2 linked regions of the Macaca fascicularis genome follow. The protein of the gene in region 2 interacts with the protein of the main gene of each other region in a pairwise test. Links are inferred from orthologs where the notes say so. Each region holds a gene or a part of one and is shown on either strand. Other genes may lie near its edges.

Region 1 (3,149 bases), on a different chromosome or scaffold from region 2:
CATTAATGATCTTGCAATGCCTCGGGGTATAGGGTAGAATAGCAGAACTGAAGGGACTTCAGAAATCATCTAGTTCAGTCCCCCTTTCATTTACAGGTGCAGATATGGAAAAGTGAAGTAACTTGCCCAGAGTCACATGGTTAGATTACTGGCAGAGCAGGGATCCTTAGTGTTTACTGCTTTGTCTCTGTTCCCAAAGACTCAGTATGTTAAGTGGGCCTTGGTATTTATAGTCCCCTCAGACTCTCGGTTTGTCATGAATGAACTCTAGCCATGACCTTGGGAAATTCTAATTACGTGGAAGTCCTGACAAGCAAATGATGGTACGATTTTACATTTCCTTTGTCTAGGATCAGGTCTTCCATACCAGGGACCAGGCCAAAACCAGACTGCCACTGCCCCCTACTTGGGCCCCACTGTCCCCAGAAAGCAGTTGCTGTGATCATGGGCAATATCTTTGGAAACCTTCTCAAGAGCCTGATTGGGAAGAAGGAGATGCGCATCCTGATGGTGGGCCTGGATGCCGCAGGAAAGACCACCATCCTATACAAGCTGAAACTGGGGGAGATCGTCACCACCATCCCTACCATTGGTAAGAGCAGAGCTTGGATGTGGGCTTTCATGCCAGCAGCTGAGTCAGGGCAGGGACCTATTCCTGGTTCTCCCACCTGGCCTCTTCTCCCCAGGCAAGTCCATACAATTTGTGGGGTTCAGAAAAGAGGGGGGTGTTGTTTAGCTTACTAGCAGATGCTGGGGCTGCTGTTTGCCCACCTAACCTGGCTCTCCCTGATGCAGGAACTTCCATGGCCTGGCACTCAACAGTTGCCCTCAGGCATGGAGTTGGTTTTTTCTCTGTGTTGTTTGGAAAGCAGGTGAAAGGCTTTGATGTTCCTTCCAAAGGCTTGGAATTGCTTGGGTTTAGGTCTTTGGTGGCCAATCTTGGTTACAGTCTGCTGAAGGGAGGGAGAACATTTGCCATGTAGTGGGGGCTCCAGTCAGCATTCTCAGCTGGCTCTGCCTTTGGGGCTCCAGGATGCCAGCTTACTTCCCTTTCTTCACTCTGCCTCTCAGGCCTCACATCTTAGCTGAGGCCAACTCTGGTAGCCAAAGTACCAGAGTAGGGCTGAGTCATTTTGTAGAAGGGAGCACCAAAGACTCAGTGGAAAAGTCAGGAAAGTTGGCCCACGTTACCCAAGCAACTGTGAACCTCTTGACCGACTTTCCTCATCTTCTTCGACTTCTCTTCGGTTTTCATTTTGGCCTTCAGGCTGCTAGGTTAACGATTACCAGGTCTGAGGAAGCCTTAGGCTTTTTTCCATTGTTGGTGTCATGGCCACCACTGGGAGAAAGCAGAACCAAACTCATTGTGGTGGTGGTTGCAGGGCTAGTGTTTGAGGCCAAGTGACCATTGCCTGTTTTTTTCCCAAAGGATTCAATGTGGAGACAGTGGAGTATAAGAACATCAGCTTCACAGTGTGGGATGTGGGTGGCCAGGACAAGATTCGGCCCCTCTGGAGACACTACTTCCAGAACACCCAAGGTATGCCCAGGCCTAGCATGGGTTGGTTGGGTTTGAGCAGAGTGTGTGGCTGTCTTTCTTGTTTATGGGTGGCCAACTGTTACCCTGCTATAGCTCCTGGGGGCAGAAGAAAGGGAGGAAAGGGAGCAAATATTTGGAGGGTGTCAGGCAAGTGTCTTCTTGTTGGGGGGAGGGGGTTACCTGTCATCTTAGTGCAGCCCATGCTCTGCCTCCCTAGGGTTGATATTTGTGGTCGACAGCAATGATCGGGAGCGAGTAAATGAGGCCCGGGAAGAGCTGATGAGAATGCTGGCAGAGGACGAGCTCCGGGATGCTGTACTCCTTGTCTTTGCAAACAAACAGGTGAGACTTCTTCCCACCCCAGAATCTGGGAGACAGCAAACTGGCTGTGGAAATTGTTGGGTCTTGGGCCTATTATATGGTAAACCCTTTTAGTATGCTCTCAATTTTAGAAGTGTGGGAAATTGAGCAGTTGGCTTCTTTATGCCCCTCTTCTCGTGCCCCACCCCAGCTTTATTTAGCAACATTGCAGTCCTCAGGGATTGCCTCAAATCTTTCTTTCATCTTGCCTATTATCTACTTTAGGTGAATTGGCCTCACTCCTGCTGTCAGACAGACCTGATTCTTTGGTCAGTTTGAATCACGTCTCTTGCTTCCCCACCAATCTCGTATTTGGTTTCCAATTCCTCAGTACAGTGACCTCCAGTGCCTTGGATCTTGGGTTTTAGGGTGACTAAATCCAAAGTAGCTCCTTAGGATCTTGGTCTGGGTTTCCTAAAATAAAGGAGGAGGGGAAGGTGCTGGTACACATTTCTTTGGTAGATGGGTGTTCTAGAAGCCTTTAAAAAATCCTGAGGCTTCTTTTTGTGTGTCTCCCACGTGCTCCAGGATCTGCCTAATGCTATGAATGCTGCTGAGATCACAGACAAGCTGGGCCTGCATTCCCTTCGTCACCGTAACTGGTACATTCAGGCCACCTGTGCCACCAGCGGGGACGGGCTGTACGAAGGCCTGGACTGGCTGGCCAATCAGCTCAAAAACAAGAAGTGAGAGCCAGACAGCCCTAACCAAGCACCCCACCCACCCCTGACATACCTGCTGTCACCCTGCCCCAGTCCTACCCCTTCCTCTCCACTGCAAGTGTGGCCAGGGCCCTGGGTATCATGTCCGCATGCCCAGCAAGAGCCTTGCCTCCCCTGCCTCCCCTCCTTTTTCCTGTCCACCTATATGACCAATCCCTAATTGCTGTCCTGATGATGAGTCATTCCAATTTACTGGATTTTAAACAAAAACAAAGTTGTTATGGTTTCATGGGGTGGCCCCTCTCTCTCTCACCCTCTGGGTTTCGGGAGGTCGAGTGGGGTATTCTCTTTGTTTGGCAGTGGTTGCTGTCCTCTTGGCATCTGAATCCTTTCTCTGTCCCCACAAGCCCTTCTACTCCCTGTTTGTCTTTCCTTCGCCACCCTCTCCCTGTTCTACATGGAAATTGCACGGGCCTCTCTGTGTTTGCGTGCATGTGTGCGCCTGTATATACATGTATAGAGAGATATATTTGTGGGGGCCGGGGGGAGCGGGGAGGGGGTGGAGTTAAGCTCAGGGCTTGCAGCCA
Region 2 (4,468 bases):
ACATAGTTCACAAAACAACAGTTATGAACCAACAAATACTTGGTTCACGGTTATAAGCCATTGAAGTCAGTCAGACTTAAGGACAACTAGACAGAGCTCCCATTTTCTGTCATCTGGGCAGGAACCAATCTCCTTTTGTATCAAATGGCCTTCTGGTACATTCTGGAATCTTGCTTCCTCATCTATTTAGTGAGGCTAATACCGCTTACTTGTAGTTTTGTTGTAAACTAAGATAAAGCCTGACATATTACTCATTTTAAAATTGTACACACAGACCCTGCTTTAACCAGATGCCTGCAAATACTCAGGTTTTCCTTCTACATATAGAAGACAACTTATCAGCTGCCAGGGCTGAAGCCAGCAGATATGGCTAAATGACAGAACAAAGGATTATGCCAATAAACTATGCAAAGCTTCCTTGCCCAGAATATAAATCAAACAGAGTAAAAAGCGAGTATATTGGCTCCAGGAAAAGGAGCAAGGACAGCCAGTTTTCAGGCGACCTCGAATTCTCTCCGTTTAGGATTCACCAACCCTAAGGTCCACTGGGTCCTTCAATCTGAGGGTCCATCCAGGGCCTTCCCTCCTGGGGTTGGAGATGGCTAGCTGCCTGATGGAGAGACCCCAGGCTGCTCAGCAGCAACGCCTGGCACAGCCGAGACAGCCTCGTAGTCTGCGATGCGGCGCTGTACCAGGGCAGGCATGAGCTGCACGTAAGCGGCCATGAGGCGGTGGTTGGAATGGATCAGCTTCCCAGCACAGCTGTGCAGACAGGCCTCCTAGAAGGAAGATAGGGTTTAAGCGGAGGACAAAGGTGTCCTGTCGGGCCCGCCTCCGTCCTTCCCCATGCACAGCCTAGGGGTGAGGGTCTGGGAAGGCCAGGACCAGAGGTAGGGGAAGTGGGGTGAGGAGGGAAGCAGTCTACCGCTAAACTCTGTTTGCAGCGTAACCTCCTTACACAGTTCCCCACCTCCTCAGCGTCCAGAGCTCGGTGGTGCAAGCTGGGCACACAACGCTGGAAGCAGAGTTCTGTCATCCGATTGTAGACCAACAGGAAGTCACGCAGCTGGGAGAAAACCGGGACCACGAACTCAGCGATATGTGCCCCACACTTCTACTCAAGGTCGCGCCGCCCAAAGTTTCCCAGGCCCGCGCACCATAACCCGAAGTTTCCAGCCCTCAGATCCCTGGCTCTATGGGGTTTCCGCGATGTGTGCAGGAATGCGAGCTGAACGTCTGGCCCCGAAACGACTTAGTTCTCACTCACGTTTCTCAGTTGCTGTTGCTGCTGCTGCTGCTCCATCACGCCACCGGCGCATGCTCTACGCCACTTCCTTTTCAGCTTCTCGGTGCCGCCCCGGAAGTAACCTCTCGCTGCTCTCGAGAACCAAGCTAGAGTATCGCCCTGCCCCGGCTTCGACGTCACTTCCGCCCTTATAATCTGCGACGTGGCCGGCTTCTTCTGCCCGGAGAGGACGTCACTTCCGCCGAGTCCCTGACCTGCTGCTAGGATCGCGACGGGAACTGGAGCCCGAGGTCCCCGCGCGGCCCGGGCCTGGCGCCCTGAGGGGAAGAGCGGCCCGGCCCGAGGTGAGAGGGACATGCTTGGGCGACGGGAAGTTGAACGCACAAACCTGTCCAGAGGGCAAGATGCCCCGAGCCCTGGGGAAGAATGAGGACACACCTGATGTCCAGGTGTATGGGGGTGGGGGCGGGGACTCACATACCTGGGAGACTGACTGTGGAAGGGATCACCGATATCCTGGTAAAGACAGGCTTTTGCCAGAGACTGGGAACATACACCAACTGATCTAACTAAGGCCTGGTGGGGAGGGCCCAAGGAAGAGGAGTTGTATGAGACGGAGGAGGGGAGACCCCCTGAAGGAAGGGGGAAGAAACACTAAAGGAGTGAGAAAGGCCAAGCAATGGAGAACAAACCTGAATGGGGGGTGAAGACCTGAGCCCTGGAAAGGGTCCATCTCCTGCTCAGCATAAACACGCCTGCATGGAGATAAGTTCTAAGAGAGCTACTTTCCCTCTTCACTGTTGTATTTTCATTGTCACAAATAGTACCTGACACAGAGTAGGCACTCACTAAATGTCTGCTGAATGACTGAATGAGTGTAGAATAATCACCAGAGGCCTGGTGAGGTTGGGGGCTTGTGAGAAGACACCGTGCTTTGGTGTGCCTGTGTACAAATGTGCATTTTGGAGGGGAGAAATACATATACCTGAAGAAAGGAATGATGACCAAACGCTGGGACACTCAAACCCTGGGACAGCCTTTAAAGAAATGACAGAGGAGGCTTCCTTCTTCTAGAGTGCTGGCCAGTGCCCAGAACTTCTGTGTTGGGCTTTGCAGGGTGCTGGGGTGGAGAGTTTTACTCCAATACCTTTCCTAGCCATGACGGACGGGATCCTAGGGAAGGCAGCCACAATGGAGATCCCTATCCACGGGAACGGTGAAGCCAGGCAGCTTCCTGAAGATGATGGGCTGGAGCAGGTGCTTCTGTTTGATTCTTCTAATTGTTTCAATTTAGGAATCCAATTTATAAATCCTGGGTTCTCACCCTCCATTCCAGTAGCCTTCCCCTGAACTTATCTGACTCCCTTAATTTTACATATCATTTTGATTCTGTGCAGACTTCCCTTGTGTAGTGTCTTTATGATGCTTGAATCCAAACTTGTTCCCACCTCCAAAATGCTTCTGCAGTCCCTATGTTCCTGAAGCAACCCCTCTTCTCTGGCCTATAGGACCTCCAGCAAGTGATGGTGTCAGGACCCAACCTCAATGAAACCAGCATTGTGTCTGGTGGCTATGGGGGCTCTGGTGATGGACTCATCCCCACAGGTATGAACAGAAACAGGAAGCTTGGGTGGAGGAGGGGACAGGAATGGTTTGGGGAAGCATAGGATATGTCTAGGAAAGCTTGAATAATGTCTGGAGATCTTAGGAACTTCTGCTTGTAGGAATCCCATGGACTCTCCTCAGCCCAAAAGCAACTCCCAGCATTGTCCATCCATTTCCCTTTTGCCACTTGGCCCCTGAAATGGCTCATTCGTCCTTTCCCTGCCACCACCTGAGTCAAGTTAAGACCTACTTCACAGGAATGCCCCCGCTCTACAGCTTGAGGCTGAGTTGGAACTTTGTGAGGCTTTTCAGAATTTTTAGATTCTAAAGTTTAGAGGAACAAACAGCCCTGAATCTCACACTAAGATTCCACATGGGAATGCAACCAGGTTTCTTGTTATCATGACCCACCATCCTTGACTCCTGCTGCCCCCAAACTCAGTGTATTTTCTTCTGTTTCCTCTGCCCCTATACACCAACAACTCCCTGCAAACCTCTCCTCTGGCCTCCAAGGAGGCCATATGTATATCAGGATTTGGTTATCACTGTGCAAGGTCCGAGTTCCTCCTAGTAAACAGGAGAATCCAGTTGTCTCTAGCATCTCCTTCAGGGAAGTCAATTTCATGTGCTGGGAGAGAAGCATGGGTGGGGCCACAGAGGTGTCTGGTGTATCTGAGAGAGGCTGGTGTCAGAGAACTTGATCCTTTAGGGTCTGGCCGCCATCCATCTCACAGCACCACTCCTGCTGGCCCTGGAGATGAGGTGGCTCGGGGCATTGCTGGAGAAAAGTTTGACATCGTCAAGAAATGGGGCATCAACACCTATAAGGTAGGATTTGAGCACCTCTCACTTCCCCAAAACTCGTTATGGGTACCTTTTTCCCCTTTCCTCATGATCGTAATATCCCATCTGTGGCTGAGAGTAGGAGCCTGGGTGGCGTTGGGGTAGATACCTGTTGTGTCGGGAGGCTATTAGGGTCTCTGATCTATTGCCCCGTTTCCCAATCAGTGCACAAAGCAACTGTTATCAGAACGATTTGGTCGAGGCTCACGGACTGTGGACCTGGAGCTAGAGCTGCAGATTGAGTTGCTGCGTGAGACGAAGCGCAAGTATGAGAGTGTCCTGCAGCTGGGCCGGGCACTGACAGCCCACCTCTACAGCCTGCTGCAGACCCAGCATGCACTAGGTGATGCCTTTGCTGACCTCAGCCAGAAGTCCCCAGAGCTTCAGGTGCCTCACCCAGACCAAAGAGGGTGGGGGAACTGGGCATGGGCCCTCCCAGGCAGTCATTCGTCATCCTCCCTCCCTCCTGCAGCCCACAGGGAGAACCCCTTCAGGGTGGGCCCAGCCCTACCCCCAGCAGCACTCACCTGTGGAGGCAGCCTAAGGGTTTGTACAGAGGTCCAGAAGTTGGAGGGGGTGGGGGAGGGGGCACACTAGGTGCTTCACAAATAACCCCTCTCTGCATTGGGGAGAATGCCTTCAGTGCTCAGCCTAATCAGAGCCCCTGCCCTGCTTGCCACACTAGCTCTTAGACTGTTCCAGTCTTGTGAACTTATCCAAGAATGCCCACCACCCACATTCCTACCCCAGGTATCCCCAGGGTGACCCCACTGA

What was found.
Region 1: the proteins of ARFIP2 (region 2) and ARF3 interact in a two-hybrid assay, tested with the Homo sapiens proteins (2 studies listed by BioGRID and IntAct). The link is inferred for Macaca fascicularis from reciprocal best matches to the Homo sapiens genes ARFIP2 and ARF3.

The regions. Positions count from the first base shown.
Region 1 is NC_088385.1:55,751,764-55,754,912, reverse strand, and holds part of ARF3 (ADP-ribosylation factor 3), read left to right. Parts: intron 1-350; coding exon 351-592; intron 593-1,429; coding exon 1,430-1,540; intron 1,541-1,757; coding exon 1,758-1,882; intron 1,883-2,428; coding exon 2,429-2,590; 3' UTR 2,591-3,149.
Region 2 is NC_088388.1:59,599,375-59,603,842, forward strand, and holds the start of ARFIP2 (arfaptin-2), read left to right. Parts: upstream 1-1,489; 5' UTR 1,490-1,590; intron 1,591-2,362; 5' UTR 2,363-2,404; coding exon 2,405-2,503; intron 2,504-2,754; coding exon 2,755-2,851; intron 2,852-3,560; coding exon 3,561-3,679; intron 3,680-3,859; coding exon 3,860-4,081; intron 4,082-4,166; exon of another isoform or gene 4,167-4,240; intron 4,241-4,468. Other genes in the region: TIMM10B (mitochondrial import inner membrane translocase subunit Tim10 B), read right to left, coding at 603-779, 971-1,066, 1,268-1,303. UniProt on the Homo sapiens protein: Plays a role in constitutive metalloproteinase (MMP) secretion from the trans Golgi network. May have important functions during vesicle biogenesis at certain cargo subdomains, which could be predominantly utilized by secreted MMPs, such as MMP7 and MMP2.